3 linked regions of the Caenorhabditis elegans genome follow. The protein of the gene in region 3 purifies or fractionates together with the protein of the main gene of each other region. This does not show direct contact. Each region holds a gene or a part of one and is shown on either strand. Other genes may lie near its edges.

Region 1 (7,675 bases), 3.3 Mb from region 3:
TTCTGAAATTTCCCGAATCCAAATTTCTCAAAAATTTGGCAGTTTTCCAAAGCTTCAATTGAATATTTTGAAAATTCTAAAACAGTGTAGAATGTTTCCTCAAGATGTGTGGTCATTTTTGGTTATTTCAAAAACATTTAGACAAAAACCCCACCTTTCTTAGTTTTTAATTATCACAGTATTTTACTTTTTAGCAAACCGACCAAGGATACGATGCGATATTCTTTTTCGCCGATCTGCCAAACAAACAGCTCCGAGTGTATCGCAGTGGTATTGGGAGATATATTCAAATCTGCGGAACAGCTCATGAGTAAGAACAGAGAAACTTCTTATACGTATTTGTTTTTTTTTTACTTTCTAGGTGTCAAAATACTGACGCAATCAGAACCCCTAAACCGGAAGAACTACAACCGGAAAGCTCTTCCGGACCCGTCGAGCAGCGTGGGTGGTTCCGCAACTTGTTCGGAAGGTTTCTGAACCCCGGAGCACCACAAATCGCCTACGACAATTATATACCCTTGCAGGTGCAGAATGAAAATCAGTTTTCGACAAACGTAAGCAACTATTTCATTTGACGTCAGTTTCTAAATTCTTATTTATATTGATTGCAGATGTCGATTCGATTTGATGGGAAAATAGTTGGACAGTATGTTTTCATGTTTCATAACTGCTACAATTATAGAGCACATGGATACAGGTGCTCAATTTTTTAAATATTTTTTTTACTTATAGGATTATTTTCAGCGACCGAGTGGCAGTGGATCTGACAGTCGACTTGGTGGAACGAAACAAACATTCTTATCTTTCACTTCAAGAAATCGCCAAGCCAGAAATCTACCTGTACATGTCCATTTTGTATTTTGGACTTGCTGTTTATTGGTCACACTTGTTATGCAGATCAAAGTATGCAAATATTTTTACATTACAGTAAAAAGTTTCAATTTACAGCTCCGAAAACATATATCGAGTGCACAAATTTATGGCGGTGCTTGTTTTCTTAAAAGCATTGTCAGTGTTCTTCCATGGTCTCAATTATTATTTCCTAAGCAAGTATGGAATGCAGAAAGAGATTTGGGCTGTTCTCTATTATATTACGCATTTGTAAGTGAGAGTTTTGGACAATTTTTTCAAATTTGCATTATTGCAAACTATTAAAAAAAACACCAAACATAAATTTCAGGCTCAAAGGATTGCTTCTTTTCGGAACTCTTATCCTGATAGGTACTGGTTACACGTTCATTAAACAGTTTTTAACTGACCGAGACCGCAAAGTGTTCATGTTTGTCTTGCCAATTCAGGTAAAACATCATATCGTAAATAATCAAATATGTTTTTGTTTTCAGGTTATCGACAACATCATTCTGATCATCCTCAACGAAAGTGAAATTGGAACACAGAATCATGAAACTTGGCTAAAGTTATTTGTCATCTTGGATCTGTTCTGCTGCGCATTAGTCGCTTTTCCAATTGTTTGGTAAGATTTCAGATAAAATCTATTTAAAATATTTGGAGGATCATTTTGACTAGAAATTGAAATTAAAATTCAACAGGTTTTTTGAAATATTAACAACATAGAACAAACTGACTAATCAGAAAAATTGTACTAGGTTTCGTAAAAAAGATTATCCTATACGTATAACCCAATTTTGATAGAAAAATAACACTGATACTGGAAATACTGAAATTTAATTATTTTTTTATAAATTTTAGGTCAATTCAACACTTGGTAGAGGGAGCCACTACAGATGGAAAAGCCGCAGCCAATTTGGAAAAACTACGTTTATTTCGACAATTTTATATTCTCGTTGTCGTCTACATCTACTGCACGAGGTTTTTTGGCTTCATATTACTCGTGAGTTTTAGAATTATAACAATTAAACATGTACAAAAAAAATTCTTAGCTTCAAGCCAGCGCCAGTGGGAAAAGTGTTGAAACCCCACTTTTGTGGTGCCAAAATTCCAAATATCACAGTACAACTTTATACAATTTTTTTAAATTTTTGATATTTCGTTTCAAAAACTGGTAATTACTCAGGTTTTACTACTTCATTGAAGTGGTCGGTCAAAAAAAAAAACTACCTTTGGATTTTATAGTCTACGTATGTTTCAAACATCGGTTTTTAAACAATGTAAGTATAGATTGGGACAGTGCCAAAAAAAATGGCAAAATCTCAGTAAATGTCACTTTTTGACTATGAATTCAACATTTGTAAAAGATTTACTATGATATTCGGTCTTTTTGGTAACCTAGGAGCGTGTTCTAACAATATCGTCACCGGCTCCTACTCTAATTTTAATCATACATATGTGTGCATAATTATTCCCGTTCAGCACTTAATGCCTGTGAACCTCCAATGGACCATTGTCGCTGCAGTCGAAATGGTTACCTTCGCATTTTTCATCATCGTTGGCTACAAATTCCGGCCTGCCAATTCACACAATTATCTGCTCTTGAACTCGGATTTTGATAGCTATGATGTGGAGACATCGCCGAAAGAAGATAGGAAAGATAAAGAAAACAATGAGCAAGAAATTGATGAGCAGTGAGTCATTCGTTTTATCATCTTTGTGAAAAAATCAAAACCTTGAGTTGAGAAAATCTTGCAGATTCCTGACAAAAGCCTACTCAGATGCCAATGTGTCGAGGAGATTGGTTTCAGATGAATCATCAAACAACCAAACCGACTATCCCCATCAGAAACTTTTGAAGAAACCGTGAGTGGCTTTCAGTATTAATACATAACATTCAATAATAATCTGTATTTGTTCAGTTCTCAAACCTACGAACAATCATTGCTAGATTAATTATAATCCGTTACAACAACAACAAAAACAACAACGAGTTCAGTGCAAACGGAGGGAGGCTTATCAACTCAACCAACCAACTGTTTCGATTATAATACTATTATGGACAGGATGATCATCCAGACTTCTATCGCGTTCTACTCACTATTTTCAAACATTTTGCTTTTCAAATAACATTTCTACCGGTCCTTTCTAGATGCATGATAATGTGTATATAACTATTTTAAGATAATGATGAAAATTGAAACTGATTTTGAAATATGATAAAAACAATTTCAAATTCCATTGCAATATCAATCATTCCTTAGAAAATATTATCATCATTATCTAAAAACTTCAAGATGTATGAACTAAATTTTTTCAAACATATAGGTGAAAGTACACTGGCCAAAGTGTATAAATTCTAGTCTCCGCCTCCTTTTCCCCATCTCTAATCTTTTTTAGTTGTAACATTTAGTCCAATAAATTTCCAGTCGTGTGATGTGATAACTCGAGACTCCCTGTAAAAAAATATTGTTAATTATTTTTCATTCTATTGTGTACTATTTTCTGAACCTTCTGTGTCTTTGTGTGCTCTATGGTCATCTAGTGAATTCAATATCTTATAATTCATTAATGAAAAGAAGATTTTTTTCCTTACTTAAAATCCTTTGTAACATTGATATAACCTCATATTACAACATCTATACAATATTTCATGCAATTCAGAACGACAAACCAACTCTAATGAGGGATCGCCGCATTGGACAGCTGTCCGAGTTAAAAGGACTAGTGGTAAGAGAGGGGTGAACAAGCATGGCGAAAGGGGGTACGCATTATTGCGTGCGCGTGTTTGCGTACTGCGCGTATTAGCCATTGTCTGCCGACCACCCGGAATCCGGCCATTTTCTGTGCACCGCAATAGCCAATACCGCTCGATTATTAGTTTTACGAGCCAATTTGCTCTTTTTATAATCCATCTTAGCTGTTATCGATTTTTTTTCGAGTTTGTATGGTTTTATATGCATTTTTGTTTTGTTATTAATGCTATTATTATTGGGTTAATTGCGCAAAATAGTTTTCCAAAAGTTTTTATGTTGAAATAATAATTTCCTTCTTTATACTCCTTTTCTAATTATCATCATGGTTTTTTCTCTTTTATCTGTCGTTTCCCTCAAATTGCAAGAAAAGTGTTTTCTTTTTAATTTAATCACAAAATGATTATTTTTAAATTATTAAAAACAATATGATTTATGGTTCAATTTCAACATTCACTTGATGTATATCAATTTATATTGATTTTTCGCGTGAAAATATCTCAAAAGAGCTAATTGAAGCGCGGAAACTTGTTTACTGTGTTCTTTTTCTCTGTCTGATTCACCAGACATCACAATGCTCAGTTAGAAGGCAAAAACATTTTTTCCTCTCCTATATGCCTCTCATTGTTTTGGCCGTTTTTGGCCGTGTGGATTACTGTTTTACAAACTGTAGAATAGAATTTTCACACTTTTTTATTTTTCTTGATGTAAAAACTTTGATTTTGAACTGCAATCCGATAGGGGGAGATCTTCATTGAAAAAACGTTTTACCGCACTAGAATGTTCTCATAATTAATCAAACATTAACCAGTTTTAATCAACTCAAAAAAGTGGAACTTTACCCTTTGATAACAACTCCATTTCCGACTATGATGGTCAACGGTGCAATGATAAGAGAAACGTCTCCCCCTGTATATTGACATTTATGTGCTTTTTCAATTTTCCATTGACTACATATAAGACAGTAAGGTGGACAATAGGAAATAGTTTTGCTCTATTTTATGTTTTTGTTCACCACTTCCGTACCTGCAAAAAAGAATTCAGAGCTTGAAACCTTGCCACCTATTACGACCACAGTTTGCGTACAAATGAGTGTGTGTGTCCGTTCGCGTCCGGCCAATCCTCTCTTCGTCGCCTAGCCGTTTTTTCGCGCGCCTCGATCTTGATTTTCCGCGTTCCTGCAGTTTTCTGTGTTTTTCCGAAACTAGGCAAAATCAAAACGCGGCGCTCGATTTCTTTTCCATTTCCTGTTGACTAAGAAAAGAGTGTTTTAGTCAATCTTCCAAAGTGGTTTGATTGACATCGACGCCCCTATTTCACCACCAAAGCGTCTTCTTGCCCCCCGCTTCTTTCTTCCCTCATCTTTCAACCCTTGCCCCATAGATGGATGGCTTTTACATACTTTTGGAATACTTGCACTTCTCCCGCTGCTTGCTCTGTGTAGTTCAAAGTTGTCGAGAAGAACAAAAACTGCAAAAGGCATTTTCTTTTTTTTTTGCTTTTTCGCTTCATAGATCGTCGTCATGAATTATGTTTGGCGCGTTTGAGTGAGGTGTGAGTGCAAAGACCTTGAAAAACATTTCAATCGTTTTTTTCACAGATGAGCAGGTTGCCTATATATCTCCCCTCTCGTCAACTCGCTTTTTGTCACCATTGTTCTTTTGACCATTTTTACCACCTCTAACCTTTCGGGTTGATGTGTATCTCAATACTTTTTACGGTTGCGCCGCATTAGACCCCCGCGTTCGGGAGGAGGCTACCCCACAAGTGTTGACATACTCTTCAACGTTTCTACGTTTAGTTGTGCCCTCAATTTGTTATTTTGATTTCTTTTGGGCAAACATAACTATATTCCTTTTATTTGCCAATTTAATGTTTCAAAAAGTCGATTAATTACGTTCACAGCTCCCTTTACGAAATAGTGATGTGAATTGAAAATTTACTGGAGAATGAACTACTGGGTTTTAAACTTTGTCGTAATAAGTGCAAATAATTAACCGGATTTTTTTCTCAAAATTTGAATACCCGCGCAAATTCTTGCTGAACAAATTTTGTATGTTTTTTTTCCAAAAAACATTTTTTGTAGCAAATGAATTTAATATATTTTTTATAAAATAACCAAATATCATAATAAAACTTTAAAAAAATTTTGAAAATGTTTTTTATTTTGAGTAAAAAAGCTGTGAAAACTCAGTATTTATATATTTTTTCTATTTTTATTTTTTCAAAAATATTTTTTCATCCAGTTTTGTGCTTTGATTATATTCAAAATACTTATATTCAATAATTTCCGCATTGTAGAGATTATAACTTTTTACCGCTTCTGACTCGAAATAAGATTTTGTCCAAAGTTTTTTGATAAGTTCTATTATCATATTTGGTCATCATATATTATAAATCATGTAACTATATAAATATTTTAGGTCATAGCAAAAATGAATAGGAATTTCAAAAAAAAAATAAAAGCAAGTCCTTATTTGTTTTGCATACTTTTTCTAAATTTCTTTCAAGTTTTAGTTTTAATGTTAAAAAGTATAACAAACCGTCTAAAACTAATAATAGAGCGTCTTTACAGTCCAAACAAAATACGTGAAATTGATTTCCCGCCTCTTCAGACTTTTTCAAGCTGAAATATTTCGATCTCAACATTTTTGTTTAAATTTTGTAATAGCACAAAGTTCCAGAGTGCATTCTACATGTTTAACCATTTTTCCCCATTTCCACATTTTTCAATCGATGAAAAATTAATATAATGGCGTCGGATGAGACATACATTCTTTTATTTTCAAAATGTTCAGAAAAAAAGTTCCACTCACACCTCGTGATACAGTGACTCAGCCACTTTGAAATGACCAATTGTTAGAAAACTATTTAGTTGGTGGTTATAATTTACGTTTATATTTTAAATCATTTGACATGTTTCTCATTAAATTCCTTGGTAAATAATTTGTATTCCATCCATCACAATTTTCACAAGGACAAATACATAAATCATATTGTATTGTCGTATTAAGAAAGAAAAAAAAAACCAAATCTTGTTCGATTTTACTGTTTTTATAGTCATTCGAATGATGAATGATGGGTATGTAGGAAAGGTATGTACATAATATTACACAACTATATATTCCAAACTTCATTATACCGATAAGAAATTCAACGAAATTCTCCGACTTTTAGAGAAAAAGTTTGATAAGAGTCGATAGGCCTACATTTTGGCAGAACGAAAATTGTAGCCTGTTCTTTGGGGGTTTGAAGCTTGCGGGGCAACACAGGGGCATCATAGGGCAACACAAGCAACAAGAGAAGACCCTCGCTAGTTTCGCTTTTCTTTTTTCCTTTGTTCGATATCAGATTTCGAATCAGTACGTTCAAATCGGTCTTCGTCTCATCACTTGTCCTTCTCTCGCCCCCGTAAAACACTCGTCTCGACTTTTCCCCCTACACTACTATATTCTGTTATTCCAAAATGCGTTTGTTCCAGATGACAACAGACTCGGCGAGTCTAAAATCTTCCGAGGGAACATGCAGTTCGATTGGAGACGAGCGAGAGAAGGCGAAGATTGTGCAGAAGCTAATTGAGATCAAAGACAAGCTACGGGCGTTGAACGAGAAACGTGAGGGTAAGTGGAATTTTAATACTATTATTTAAAATAAATATACAACTTTTCAGCTGACGTCGAAAAGTTTCTCTCCATAACGCGACAATCAGAAATCTCTCGCGGAGTTGGAGCAGATAACCCTCAGAGAGCCCGTATTCGCAACAATTTTGAGAGGCAGAACAGAAAACATGCACATGAGACTGAAATGCTTCAGGTAAAAACTGATGGGTTTGAAAGTAGAAAATTGAAAAAATAAATTAGAACAGTTTTCTGAAGGATTACGTTCTTGGTAAATGGTGGCTTTCCTATTACCTATGTAGCTCAAATAATGAAAAAAAACACACACATAAAAGGTTAGGTAGCCAATGCAAATTTTAGTTAAATACACCTATCGTAGTCAAAAATGCCGAAACTTCATGTTTGACCACTCCAAAAATTTTAGGCTTTTTAAAGTTCTCATTAAAATTGTATGGT
Region 2 (7,642 bases), on a different chromosome or scaffold from region 3:
CGTGAAAATATTCGATGCTATTTTTAGGCTTCTGAAATCTCAAGACCGATTTCAAGAAAACAAAAATTAAAAAATCACAATTGCATCATTTTTTTAATCACAAATTTTCATATCATCACAATCTAAAACATCAATTATCTTTTCGTCGTTTTCACCCAAATGAAAAACTAGTTTTGCTTCGATATATTTCGGCAAAACACGTGTAATGAGTCACCTCCTTTGCCTAGACTTCAAAGTATTTAATGGATACAAGGTAGCTCAATGGTGAATTGGAGAAGTTGCGTACTATTTTTTCATGGCCTAGGGTTTGCAGTAACGGCCGTCTAACATCTTTGCCGGCCGGAGAAAATTCGTGACTTTACATATGGCCTAGCATAACCGCCGACAGCAATGGTTCTAAGGTGCGCCTGGAAGAGGGGTGATTTCAAACGAGGTCTAAAACTATCTACGATCATAACCACCTCATTAGCCGCGACCACTGTATTAAACACACGTGGTCTAGTTTTTCTCCGATTACGTTTGGATAAATTTGAATTTTCATAATTATAATAAGGAAGAAAAACGTTCAAATCAAGAAAAAAGTTTTTTAACCTAAAACTTTCTTAATCAACATTACAACACAAATGATATGGGCAAGTTCGTTTAAAAATGAAGGTCAGTCTAGATTAGAAATAAGCTATAAAATTTCAATAAAATAGGGACAAAGGAAGAAATGGTCAGCGATTCTCATGAAGGTTTTGGACACTGTGATATACTTTACAATAGCTGATTGTGAGAAGATCAGAGATACACGAGACGCAGAGAAACACGAGAGGAAAAGATTTGAACATTTTCAAAGATACCGCACATCATAAAAAGGAGATATATACATCTCATCTCTCAAATATCATTCAAATTAGGATTTGAACCTGCGGAGAGGCCGACGATTAGATATTATATATCAATGGAAATTTCGAATACTTCTGGAAAGGGAAATTGTTTTGTGATTGACGAATAAGGTAGCGGAAGTTGAGATTAGTTTTGAAATTAGAACAAGTGCTTGAAGTAGAAAGTTTTGGTAATGTGTAGGAAAGAAGTGACATCATTATATTTAGATGCCGTTCGTGGAAGAGGAGTGACGTCACTAGAGATTGTAGCTCGCTAATGGATGAGTTTTGAGGTGATAGGCGCTGGTGGCAAGTTGTGGAAGAGCTGTGATGTAATAGAAGCTGATGCTAGCTTGTGGTAGAAGAATGACGTGACTGATGATTTTTATTAAATTGAAGCTCGAGGAAATTTTTTTTGAATTTTTGAAATATATTTATAACTACGTTCTAAAATACTAGGTATCTAAATTTAATTATTTAAGGTTTTGCGAATACTTTGAGTTGGCAAATATAAAATTCTTGATGGCACAGTAGGCGTAGGCACGCAGATAGGCACGAAAGACATAGACAAAATATAAAAATGTAAAACGGTAAAAATAATCTTTTAAAATTGTGATTTTTGTAAGGCCGTTTTTTTTTAAATAAATTTCAAATCAGATTGAAAGCCAATTTTTTGGTAGGTAGGTCTACCTCCGTGCCTGCCTGCATGATTTCATGTCTTTCTACCGCCTATTGACAATAACTCTGGCTTCTGATTTTTGCCCAACTTAGATTCATACACCTCTCATTTCAAAGAATCGGATGAATGTTTCTCTGAGGATGTAGGCACGCGTGCAGGCACGAGGCATAAATAGGTCGCCTTAAACTGTATCTCTAAGTATCACAAATTCCCGGAAGGGAACACTTTGTTCATTTATTTGCATCTCCACTTTCTCTTTTGGGGTCAAAAGTAATAAAAAGTGATCTTTAATGAACAATGGGTCGAGTGTTAATTGTCTTCTTCTCCGGGTTGGGTACAATGAACTATAAATCAATGTACTTTTGATTTGATTTATTATTTTTTTTTTTTGCAAGTTCAACGAATCAAGTAATGTTAGGTTGGAGTGGGGAACTTGCTAAATATTGAGGTATCATTTACTAAGTTTGAAAATTTTTCCGAGATTTTTTTAACTCACAGCAAAAAATGTCAGTGTTGAACTTTCATTGTCTTGTGAGTTGACCAAAAAGATGAGGTTTAAAAACACATCCGGCTGAAAAATTTTCCTGTAAGATTTCTGAAATTATTTTCTAAAAAAACATTTTTTAATTTCCGATTCATAGAAAAAATAAGTTTATTATCTTATGATAGCACAACATATTAAAGCAGTTTAACATAAAATCACAAAGAAAAGCAAACGAAAATTCAGGAAAAAATGACAAATGTTTGGGGAAAAGGGGGAGCGACAGGACCGGTGTTCTAGACGAGAATCTGATGGAAAACGACTACAATTGGATGAGAAAGTGGATGTAAACTTATGACATGGATTTGAAAAACGGCAAGGTTAAGCTAGGTGAACAGTTGGAGAAAAAATTCCAAACGGAATTTTTTTCGATTTTTTTTAGATTAGTCGCAATCCATCATATCATCGTCAAATTCATTTCTGGGTTGACGGTAAGAGGTGAACGGATTCGATGACGATGATGATGAGCATGTTGAGTGATTTGAGTGGAGAAGAGAGGGAGGATCCGGTGGAGCTCCTGGAGCTGGAATTTTTTTTTGTTGAAAATTTATTTTTTATTCTAGAATTTCTTTTTTTTAATGCTCCAAAATTATCCAAAAAATTACTTTTTTAGTTCAAATTTTTCCGAAAAGCAAAAAATATAACAAAATTTTGCGTACCTCCATCGATGCACCATGTTTGACGGGCCCAATTTCAACAATGAGCGTTGCGACAACAGGGAATTACATCGTACTTTTTTGTATGTTTTTTTTTGAATTTTTAGCGTTAAAAAAAATATATTCTCTGACAAAAAATTTTATCACACATATATATTTAAAAAAAAAACGAATTCCTAACCATTATTTTTTCCCGAATTGGTCAAGGGTGATTTTTCAAAGAAAATTTTTTTAATTGAATTTTTTTGTAAAAATATAGAGATTTTTGATTAATTTTTTTTTGAAAGAAAAACCTACGAATTGCTGATTCTTCCTCTTCCAGTACGTAACCATTATTGTACTCATCACTACGAGCGACTGAAGAATGCGAATCAGACGACGCCATTGAGTCTGGAAATGGTGGGAAATTTGAATTTTTGAGTAGCGGAGTCGGCATTTGCCACGTGGTCGCGAAAGAAAAAACTCGGCCACATGCAGATGTATTCATATTTCGAATTTTCAGAATTTTTCAAGTCTATCATATCGATATTTTAAAAAATTTTCCTAAATTTCGAAGTTACTCAATTTTTTCAGAAAGATATTTTCAGATTATGCAAAAAAATTTTCAAAGCGGTGTTATTTTTTATCAAATACGAAAAATGCTCAATCTTATTTTGTACTTTTTTCCAGAATCTCCAAATTATGAGTAAATTTTTGATTACAGTTTTTTTCAAGATTTTCCAGAATTTTTCATTGATTTGTTTTCAAAAAAAATACCAAAAACTTACTTCGAAATGCATCTTCTTCATTCACAAATCGATGAGGTGTATGTCGAGCTGATGGTGGAAGAGAAACTGACAGAGATTGACTGAAAATGTTTTTTTTTAACTTGTGCTGTTGAGAGTTATATATTATACAACTCAACTAATTTTTAAAAAAAAGTGAATTTTAAAATTAAAAATTGAAAATCATGTTCTTCCATTATTTTCAAAAATATTTCTTTTTCAATTGAAAAATTTCTAAACTGCAAAAATGAAAAAAAAATCGATGCACCATGTTCAACGCGCCACATTTCAACAATTAACTTCTCACTACAGATAATCGGAAACATCGTCGTTTTTTGTAATTTTAATTTTAAATTGTCAGTTTTTTGTGGAAAAAATAAGTGAATATTTGAAAAAAATCAAACTATAAATTATTTTCATTTAAAATATACAAAACTTACCCCTTATTATAATTAGTTAACGAATTACTCCTCTTCCTCTTGGAATGTAAATTCGAATAAACCCTCGATTGCCTTCGAGACCCGCTTGCCGAATGCCTGTGGGACGGGATAGGCTGCTGCCGGAACATGATAGCGTCTAAGGAAGAACTTGCACATAATGGAGGTGGTGGACGTGTTGAATCTGCCATTACTGTAGAAGATGTTTGAATTCCGACTATTTCACTGGAACAAGAGCACGCGTTCATTGTGGATGCTGATATTTCGTCTGGTCGTGGAGCTGGCGATGAAGGTTCCAGTTGGCAAAGATCTAAGGCTGCGATGGTGTCTCTGTGATGAAGATCGGTTAGACGATTCTCATCTGGACGAAGGACTACATCTTCCACGGCACGCTGAAAAAATTGGACTTATTTTTTGTTGAGAAATGCTTTTTGCCGCAGTATTTTTTTATTAGCTGAAAACAAAATTTGATGAAAAGATTTTTAATGGCATTTTTTGTACATAATTATTTTTTCTGAAACAGTAAAATTACAGTACAATTTTCCTAGATTCTACGTTTTTCCAATTTCGCTAAAAAGGTTTGATAAGTTAGTTTCTATTTTAATTTTTTTGAATTTCCAGAAATAATTCAAAGTTTTCAAGGACTATTCATACATTTTTACATTGCCAACATGAAAACGGAGAAAATATTCGAGAAAGAGCAATTTTCCATTTCAATTTCCGTCGGAAATGAGTTTCAGTGAAGTACTTTGAAATTAATTGTTTTCTTTCAAGAAACTGCTCTCACTTTCAAATCATTACACCTCATCGATTGTGTGAAGCGGTGATTCGTGGCAAAAGCAGCCGGATTTCCGATCGTTGTGACGAGAATTGCTCCAACGTCCGGGAGTGAGACGAGGATCACAGGGAATGCAGTTTGGAGAGTTGAGGTACTGGGTTTCTGGAATAAGATAATTTACAAGAAACCAATATACTGGCGGAGTTAAAACTGAAGATAGAACCTTTTTGAGAAAGTTCAAAAGATCATTGGCCACAAATCTGCGTTTCTTGACTGAAAAATCCTCATCTTCTCAGAGTCTCTAATACTCGAAAGAGGGAAGACAGAAGAAAAATGATAAATGTTCTCGGTAAAGCTCCAGGAGCCTGCGGAGCATTCTCCTTTTTTTCAGGTCAGAACTCGCTTGCGAAAAATATTCTACTAACTTGTTTCACTAGACAATTGTGATGTGTAATATAAAAACTCAAAAAAAGTACTAAAAATTACGATGTCGAAGCTACCAAAAGCCAAGATATGGGTGGGATTTTTTTTTCAAAAAAGTTCTTCGATGCACCATGATAGTTGTTTTTAATAGCCGCTAATCGCCATTGCATAAACAGATGAAAAGCGGGAAACTTGAATATTTGAAAATAAGTTATGTTCCAAAGCCTTGTAGAGATATTATATGAAAAAGTAAAATAAAAAGGAACCAGGTTGTGTGTCCATGACACAACACAATGAATCAGCTTCTTCTCGTTGTTGTTGCTAGAAACAAAAACATGTGTTTTGTTATTTTCTAGAAAATACAAATCAGAAGAAAGGTAATACTATATACCGGGAAATTGAAGCTAAAATATAAATAAATTTAGAAAAAATCCGGCATTTTTAAATGTTTCAAATGTTTAAAACAAATTTATAACTTGGTAGACTACGTTGCAATCGTGCCTTTTCGCAAATCAACTGACAGAGTTTAAAAATTTTAGAAAAATAATTTGGGGATACATTTCCTAACAGATGAACGTTTTGAAAATTTTTGAAAAACCAGAATTAGTAAAATAAATGGAAGGCCCAAAAAAAATTTTGAATAATTTTTTTAGAAACAATAATTTTGAGTATTTTTGAACCTTTTGGGTTGGAGGGAACTTGAAAGTTCTTTTAAAAAATTAAACAAATTTTTAAATCCATTTTTTCAGTCTAAAATTTTTGCAAAAACAAAGTGAAACCGCACAAAAAAGTAGAAAAAGGTAGAACTTGCAAGAAAAAATCAACCTAACCGGAACTAATGACAGCTGATGCGGAGCTAACGGGCTCCGCAGAGCCAAACGAGTCATAACTTGAGAGATATATGTGCTCAATGACATCTTATCACACAAAGAACCTTTTGGCCCAAAAGACTGAGAAGCCCTTGGAGCCGTTGCGAGCCCATCGGAGCACAGAGCCCAGCGACGTCATCAGAGAAGGGGTTCGATGGCAGTCACAAAGTGCTCTGCTGGAGTGTTTGAAAACTAAAAAAGAAACGGAGAAGAAGAAGAAGCAGAAGACGTCGTGTGGCTCTTCTCGGAGAAATATGGACGAGTGAGAGAGCGTGCCGAGCGCCGGACACGCAGACGCGCACACAGAAAAGAGCACCGAATCCAGAAATGGAGCAACACAGAGAGCTCCGAGCCCCCTCTCCCCCATCGAATTCTCATTAAGACACCCCCCCGGAGCACGCGGAGCATTTGAAGAAATCGTGGAGAGATAGACGGCTGGAACGGTGGCAAAGAGACGCAGACACGACGCCTACTGCCTAGCTAATAAGATTGAGAATGAAAACAGGGGGAGGGAAAACATATAATAAATATATATATAGTTGAACTTTGGCGTGCTAGTTGATTAGATTTGGCAGGGAATGAAGGCGTTTGGAGTGAGATACTCTGCCTACCTACCAGCCTACCTGCTTGCCTACTGGTTATAGCAAAGTGCTCATGGTGCATCGACAAATAAGAGGGAATCTAATTTTATTTATATACTGAATTATATGCTGGCATTTTCCAAAGTTTTTTTTCCAAATTTTCGGGAGTACTGTACCTCGTAGAATACACAAATATCAGAGTAGGGACAATTCAATTAAAAAATTATGTTTGCGTGTGAAAATCGGCGTAAAATTCGACTTTGATGCATGATTTTCTATAAGAAAAATGGTGCATCGAAAAAATATTCTAAAAAACAGAGTTTTGAGATCTGCTAGAAATTTTAAACACCCCAAAATTTTCAGAAAAGCCATTTGCCACGAGGCCGCGAAAAAAAACTGGTGGCCGAGTTTTCTCTATTTTTATTGAAAAAATTTCATAATGTTTTTGATCTACACGACCTAGAAACCATGATTGCTTTATATCTGATTAGATTTACCTGATTTACTCAATTTGCCTAACCAATTTTCAGTATCCATATAAAAAATGTCATAATTTTTCAGGTTTAAAAAAATTCGCTATTTTATATTAGAAACCTAAAAAAATTTAAGAGCGCTAGTTTTCCAGAAGAAGTTTTATTTTTCTGAAAAAATATTTTTGAATTTTCAAGTTTGACAAAAAATGTTTGGAATTTTGCTATTTTTATCAAAATGTGGAACTTTTTAGATACAAAAAAACGCAGAAGTTTTTTTTGAATAAAGGCAATAAAAAATCACAAATGCTAAATACAAAATGTTTATTATTCCACTCAATCCTCACCCAAAAGTGCAGCTCCCGGAGCTAGATTATGAAGAGTTTAAAGATTAAATCACGACTTTTTATGTGATTCACAAGTGATTAGTGATTATAATAATGATAACATCTTTTTTTCAAAAAACAAAGAAAAATAAATGTTAAGCCTTTTAATGTGATGCTTTACATTAAAAAGTGCATTGATATCTTCTGTTAGCGTTGGCTGGAAAAGAGAGTAATCAAAAATCACAAAAAGTG
Region 3 (6,825 bases):
GTTCTTGTAAAAGCCTCAAAGCATTTGCAGCAAGCTCAGCTTGTCGACTACTTCCCGATTTTTGCTCCAACCATTTTTTATGTGCATTGGCAACCTCTGACGCTTTTCGTTCTGCTTTCTTGGCTCTTTTCTTTTTCCCTTTAGACATTGTCTTTTCAATTTGCTTTATTCCCATGTTTGCGGCACTACATTTCAACTTTTCCAAACTTTCACTGATTTCTTCATAACGAAATGTTTTCAGAACTTCTGCGTCATCCAAAACGTTTTTTAATTGACTGGCCGTGAAAGCAATTTTATTCGATAAATCACTGTTATTATATGCACCCATAACGGTTTCATCCTCGGGAAACTCCGCTTGGACAATAGAATCTGAATTCTTGTGGCTGGAGATAGCTGATTTTTCAACAAGCTGAAAAGAAACAAGAAAACATTTTTAAAAGGAGCGGCATTACTTACTTTTTTGGATATTTCTGTAGAAATTACATTTCCACATTGACTCGTTTGGTTTCCACCGTTATATTGATGAGGAATTGGAGAAAATGAGTCGGATTCTGCAACCGTTGAGCAGTCTGATTCTGCGCCAAGTTCGATTCTGTAAAATATAAAATATTATTTTATTTTGGTTCAGACAGTTTGTATAAATCAGCTTCAATAATATGATTTTCAGTGTGGTTTTAAGGCATTTAGAAAAGTGAAAATGAGCTCACAAATTCACAAATTCACGTAGGAAAAATATTAAAAAAATAACTTCGCTCTCTAGCTCATTATTTCAAACATCAAAGAACTCACGTTGAAGTTGTCGACTCTCTATCCGTGATTTTTGCTTGATTTGCTGCAATACTGACATCTCCGACATGCTCATTTTGATCATTCTCAATCATTTTAGCGTACAAAACAAGTTTCTCATAATCATGTAAAGCGTCTTTGTTTCCTGACAATAGCAATAAGAACAGTGTGTGACGCTGCTCATTTTCCACTTTCCTATACGTTTTCCAAGCCTTCACTACTGTTTCGAGATATTCAATGCGGTTTTTGATTTCTTGGTCACACAGAACTGAAAAAATACACATGTGTTTGAAAAAAAATATATCATTTTACCTTCTAAAGAATGAGAGTCATAGCTTTTAACTTTTCGGACCAACTCTGATGAAACCTCCAGTTTGATTTGGATGCACATTCGTCAAAAACAACAAAACGCAAACGTAGAAATATTAAAAGGACAAAGCAATTCTTCTATTCGGGACGACGGTTCTAGAAGGGTGCACAAGAAGAGTTCATTGAGACGCAGCGTGTTCGAGGAGAGCAGAAGACGGAGTCACCACACGTCGTTTCTTCAGAATACGGCGTCGCTTCATATGTCCCTAAGCATAGAGAGCATGAGGAATTAAGAGAAAATGAGCACGAGTAGTATGCTTTTGCTTGGAGCATGTGAGCACGCTGCGGTGAGGTGCTTGCATTTTCTGTAATTAAGGAGGGGTGGTGTCTAAGCAAGAGCCGAAAAGCAGGGAAATCTGAGTTGGCGCCACTTTTGAAAAAGTCTGAAGAACTTAAGCATGTTCAAACCACTAACATTTTTTTGATAGATAACTTAAAGAAAGTTTTAAAAAGTTGATAAAAACCTTGTTTTCACCTTTTTGTGACGTCATTTAAGCACCCCAGAAATGGTTTTCAGCCATTTCTTCACTGAACGTACTCAACTTTTAATATAACATCTAGAATTTTTTAAGAATCTATTTATAAAGCAAATAGAAATGGTTATTACATCGGGAAATAAGAACATAGTAATTTTGAGTGGAAACCCAGACAACACTGGAAGTTCGGGATGGGTAACATTGGGCAGGTTAAAAGAATTGGGTGAGAGGCCAAATAATTCAGTGCAATTAAATCAGGAAATTCTGAGTCGAGTATTTGAAGAATTTGAGTTTTGAAGTAGTATTGCACGAGGGGTAAATGATTTCAGCAGCTGTCGATTTCCGAGTTCTGTGGAACATAGTCGCTTGCGCTTCGACTTAAAATTTAGAGAAATACGCATCATCGGTGGATGTGGCCATTGATCGTTTCGCCGGTGGAGCATCTTCTTTTTCAAACGCGGTTTTTCTTTTGATTGTGTTTGATTGTTCACTGAAAGTAAATTTTTAATGAATTAATGAATTTTTGAAGCAAAAAAGTTATTTACCTAGTGGTTGGTCTAGAAGGAGTTATATTGCTGGTGGTAGATGGAGGAGTTGATGTCGAAGCAGCTATTGTGTCAGCAGTTCTGAAAAGTAATGACAATAATCGCCAAATTTTCCTCATATTAGCCTGTAGTAGGATTGCATACCTAGTACCTAGTAGAGCTGTGCGACAACCGAGACTTTCGGCAACCGGCAACTCGGTTGCCGGTTGCCGCACAGACTTGGTACCTACAGTGCCGGCAATAAAGGATTTCCCTTTTAGTTTTTTTTTTAGAAAAGCTGTCAAAAAATGTTTTACTAATTTCTTTTCTATATAATTCATAAAATTATAATATTTGAAAAAAAAAACTTATTGTTGAACTGATGTTTGGCTTTCAGGTGGTGAACTTGTTGCCATATTCCTGGATGCATTCGAATCACCACTTGCTGAAGGCGACGAAAATTGCCATAAGTCGACTGGATAGATGAAGTCTAGGTCAAAATCGCTATCGTTCGAATCCGTAGAAGAGTCAGAGTCCGTCCTTAAATAAATTTAACGTTTTTTTTTAACTCGACAAAAACGACAAACCTTCTTCGCATCCTTCGTTCCTCCTCCTGCCGGGCGAGATTCCGCTCAAACGAATTTCGCATACCATTCGCACGGAAGCGAGTAAACTCTACATTTACTTCCTGGATTCGTCGCGTCAGATCATTTCGCCGGTTTCCTGATCTTTCGAGGAGATCTCGCATTGTTGTGAAACTGTCTGAATTAATAAAATTAATTCGAAATGTCAGGATTACAATTTATATATACATTTTTTTTGAATATTTTTTCAAAATAACTAACGGTTCTTTTAATTTCAACTAGGTTTTATCTGTAAATCCAGTAGTTTTGTTTTTGAACAACAAAACTCCTGAGATGTCGGCCGCTTTATTTTTGGTCAACTTCCGATTGAATGGTTTTAACTTTAAAGACTAAATATACATTAATATAAATGATATTTTGCTAGTTAAAGGTTTTTCAATAACACCTCAGGTTTTTTAGTTATACTCATTTGAATAATCAAAAAAATAATCATTTCAAATTTTTTGATAAAACTAAAAAACCTAACAAATACATTTGTTTGCTAATTGATTTCTTTCATTGAAAATAACTAACGAAAATTGATTATTCTCCTTCACGATTATAATTTATTTGTAAAACGGATTTAAATAAAACAAAACTCACTTGTCAAGATGTCTAACATTTGTTCCAGTTCATTATGAGCTTGAGCGACGATTCTGTCTTCCATAGTCCTGAAAATGTTTTTCAAAACTAAAAAAAAATAGCGTTGCTGTGCATAAAGAACATCGGAAACTACGACAATTAAAAAAAATGCCCGATAAAGATGCGATGAGCATGGATGGCAATTGATTCTACGTCAATATTTGCGCAAGCGACGAACAACGCGCCAGCAGAAACACCCTGGCGCACTTTCTGTCGAGGAAGAAACACCGGGCAAATAGCTGGCAGTGGGCACGCAAGCAGTAGCATGGGAAAAAAGGAAAAGAAGAAAAAGAAGAGAGTCTTCAAATAATGTGAATTTCTCATCGAATGTGAAGTAGTTTTGTGGAAACTTTTGCAGAAAGGAAATTTTTATATTTTTTCGCTGATTGCGAATAATTCAATGAATCAAGTATTGATAAGAAAATTGAAATAGTTGTGAATTTTGATAACCAAAGTATAATAGTCAATGAAAAATTTTTTTTTCGAAAGGATAAACGCGTTTAGATGAAAAAAAAAATCAAAGTGTGCAGAATTGATTCAACAATGATTCAACCATCTGATCGGTGTAAAATTGCCTTGATGTGTAGATAAAAGTTTACCGTTCTTGTGTAATATACTTGCCCTACCGTTTGTCGACACGAATAAAGGCATTTTGGCAGGTTTAGGAGAAGTAGTATTGTATTATTACGGTAATTAAAGTAAATAAGACTTATGGGGTTATTTAAGTAATGCTGCAAAATATAATTAAATACATTTATGTTTGCATGTATTTCAATACAGTTGTGACCTAATTTTCTTACACTTTTCAATTTTCCAACACTACGTAAATAACCTCATTATTTTCATTAACAATTCAACTGAAACTAAATTTAAAAAACATCAACAAAACATTTCATTTGAAATATCATCATAAAACACTCTAATTCTTCTCTAGAAAATAATCCTCGTGGAACAGATTCAGCATTAACTCTTCAAGTTCATTGAAATTATCGGCATTCCTAATTTGATTGTTGAGACATGCGCATATCAATGCGGTTCTTGAGTTGATCTTCTCCAGTAGATAAATATACATGTACGTAAATTGCATGAAGTTTGGAGGACGGGCCTATTAAAACTTATTAAGTACAATTTTTTGGTAACTCATAAACTACCTCCAAAAAGAAATCTCGCCTTTTTGTACAAAATGCGATGGCAAGTCTTAATAACATAAGTTCATCCATTTTATTGCTAGCTTCGTATGCTGAAACTAATTGCACCAGTTTCAGAGTATTATTGCTGCGAAATTCCAATTCTTCTGAAATGTCAAGTGATCATTATAAAGTTTAAATTATACAAGTGAGGTAGCGACAGTGGAAAAGTTGTTTTAAATATGCCTATGGCATCACAATGACCAAGTATCATAATATTAAAAAAAAACATCGAAAATTTTTTTAAATTTTTATGATTTTTTGAATTTTTTTTAAATTGTTTTTGCCACTTTTCAGGAACTCGTCGATCAAAAAATATATTTTACTATTTTTTGGTCTACTTATATTTCAAATATTAATACCTAAATATTGTAGGGGCACGTGGAGTCAGAAAGTCCCATTTCGCTTTGATCTTCAAAAAATGCGGGAGGTGAGACGCAGAAATCTCATCTGATTTTGCATGGTTCAGAGCGTGCTGATGTCACAATTTTTCTGGAAAAATACTTCCGCATTTTTTGTAGATCAAAGTGTAAGGAGATATCCTGACACCACGTGTAGGGATTCTAACATGCGACAGTTAAAAACTCAAAAAGTGACAAAAATTCAGTAACTGCCAATTTTGACTTTTGACTGTCAATAACATTTTTTCAAAAAAATGTGAAAAGCTTTACTATTCATATAATCTCACAAAAGTGGTTTTTAAAAATTCCCACACTGGCGCTACTCCATATTAAAACATTACTTTGTACTGAATCTTCAAAACTCAAATATGCAACTGCCGCTTTCCGAATTTGCCCAATTTGTTTTTTGCTCAATGATTGCCCGGCAGACTTAATTGCAGCCCGAACTTCTCGTTCCACTTCCTTATCCAGTTTCTTACTGCCCTCCGAGTCTTCGATATTGTCTTCAACTCTGAAAATTCACCTTGATTTTAAGAAGTGTAAATTGGCCAACCTAGCTACACGTCTCCATTTATTCGTTTTTGGCCAAATATCTTGCAGAAGCTCGTTTGAAATCGTACCCATCGAATCCACTGTCGCTACTTTATTAGTTGTTAAATATTTGTTGGTCTCTGCTTCAGCAGTTTTTCTCATCGTAACTGCTCCAGTTTCTTTTAGGACTGCATTGGCTCTTGATATAAATTCTTCCAGAACTCCATTGTCTACATTTGCAAGCTCTCCCAATTTCAATCGCTCTCTTATTTGTTTTTCTTCTGTGGATATATCGGTTGTCAGTTTTTGCAAGTTTGATTTCAAATTTCTTGATTCTGGATATATGTAGTGAGTGGATGATTCAATGTCTTCAGATTCTTCGAGATCTTTTCTGGAAATAATATGTAAAGATGCAAACTTCTAAGTATCAATAAGTACGTCTTAGGAGTGCATGTGATAAGTGATTCGATGAACAATTGCTCGTTTTTATCAAAGTGCTTTATGTAATTGTTACTTATAAATACAGCAAGTTTACTATTGGACCCCTGCAAAATTTTCGCGAAAAACTATTGTGATATTTGGTATCCAGAAGTTAAGATACCTATAATTCCATGTTTTCAAGAATTTATCGTAAATGTTGTTTTATTTTCTGAAAAATACAGACCATGACAATTTTTTCAAACACGCAGTCGAACACAATTTTGAAATTATAATTTTTCTATTAAAACTTGAAAAAAAAATTTCAAAAACCTCAAGGGGGTCCTATATCAAGTGCCCACTCATATTTTTGAAATATTGTTTGGGTGCTTTCAATTTTTCTGAAAAATTCATGAAAACTTTGGATTATAGGTTTTTTAACACCTTGATTCGAAATATCACAATAGTTTTCCACAAAAAGTTTGGATTTTTTCAATACTTCCAAAATATAAGGGGGTCCTGCACTGCACTGTATGTATGACATTCACTAACTTTGAGTTTCTGGTTTGACAATCTACTATCTGGTCTTTTTCTTCAAATTTTTCATCTTTCTTGATAGTTTCCAGTGCTCCGACTTGATTGCATTCGATATCCTTAGAAGTTTGTTCTACTGAATTTTCCAAATTTGATATGCTAAATGATCGCTGTCAACAAAAAAAAAACGAATGATATAAATTACCTATTTGGCAGTTTTTTGCTCGATTTTTTCTTCTTTTTCTTTGTTCGTCGTAAACCCGCTTCTTCAGAAGCGTCGTGTAATCCTGTGCTTTTTGAAAGTGCTTTTTCAACAACAACATTTGTTGTTTCAG

The links.
Region 1: the proteins of C14A11.9 (region 3) and C15H9.4 fractionate together in Caenorhabditis elegans (co-fractionation; one large-scale study listed by BioGRID). This does not show direct contact.
Region 2: the proteins of C14A11.9 (region 3) and K10G9.2 fractionate together in Caenorhabditis elegans (co-fractionation; one large-scale study listed by BioGRID). This does not show direct contact.

Annotation. Positions count from the first base shown.
Region 1 is NC_003284.9:6,094,134-6,101,808, forward strand, and holds the start of C15H9.4 (Transmembrane and coiled-coil domains protein 2), read left to right. Parts: upstream 1-3,509; 5' UTR 3,510-3,579; intron 3,580-6,895; exon of another isoform or gene 6,896-7,032; intron 7,033-7,083; coding exon 7,084-7,222; intron 7,223-7,272; coding exon 7,273-7,415; intron 7,416-7,675. Other genes in the region: C15H9.5 (GOST seven transmembrane domain-containing protein), read left to right, coding at 195-310, 362-554, 612-697, 745-903, 949-1,101, 1,181-1,298, 1,344-1,474, 1,711-1,852 and 3 more.
Region 2 is NC_003281.10:10,283,164-10,290,805, reverse strand, and holds K10G9.2 (Bestrophin homolog), read right to left. Parts: upstream 4,884-7,642; 5' UTR 4,752-4,883; coding exon 4,731-4,751; intron 4,336-4,730; coding exon 3,947-4,335; intron 3,590-3,946; coding exon 3,510-3,589; intron 3,133-3,509; coding exon 3,040-3,132; intron 2,610-3,039; coding exon 2,470-2,609; 3' UTR 2,185-2,469; downstream 1-2,184.
Region 3 is NC_003284.9:2,806,187-2,813,011, forward strand, and holds C14A11.9 (DASH complex subunit DAM1), read right to left. Parts: upstream 3,452-6,825; 5' UTR 3,446-3,451; coding exon 3,382-3,445; intron 2,918-3,381; coding exon 2,743-2,917; intron 2,696-2,742; coding exon 2,528-2,695; intron 2,258-2,527; coding exon 2,177-2,257; intron 2,122-2,176; coding exon 2,010-2,121; 3' UTR 1,868-2,009; downstream 1-1,867. Other genes in the region: C14A11.5 (Death domain-containing protein), read right to left, coding at 1-409, 457-592, 790-1,054, 1,099-1,177; C14A11.6 (ANK_REP_REGION domain-containing protein), read right to left, coding at 4,340-4,525, 4,572-4,714, 5,350-5,519, 5,562-5,930, 6,509-6,649, 6,696-6,825.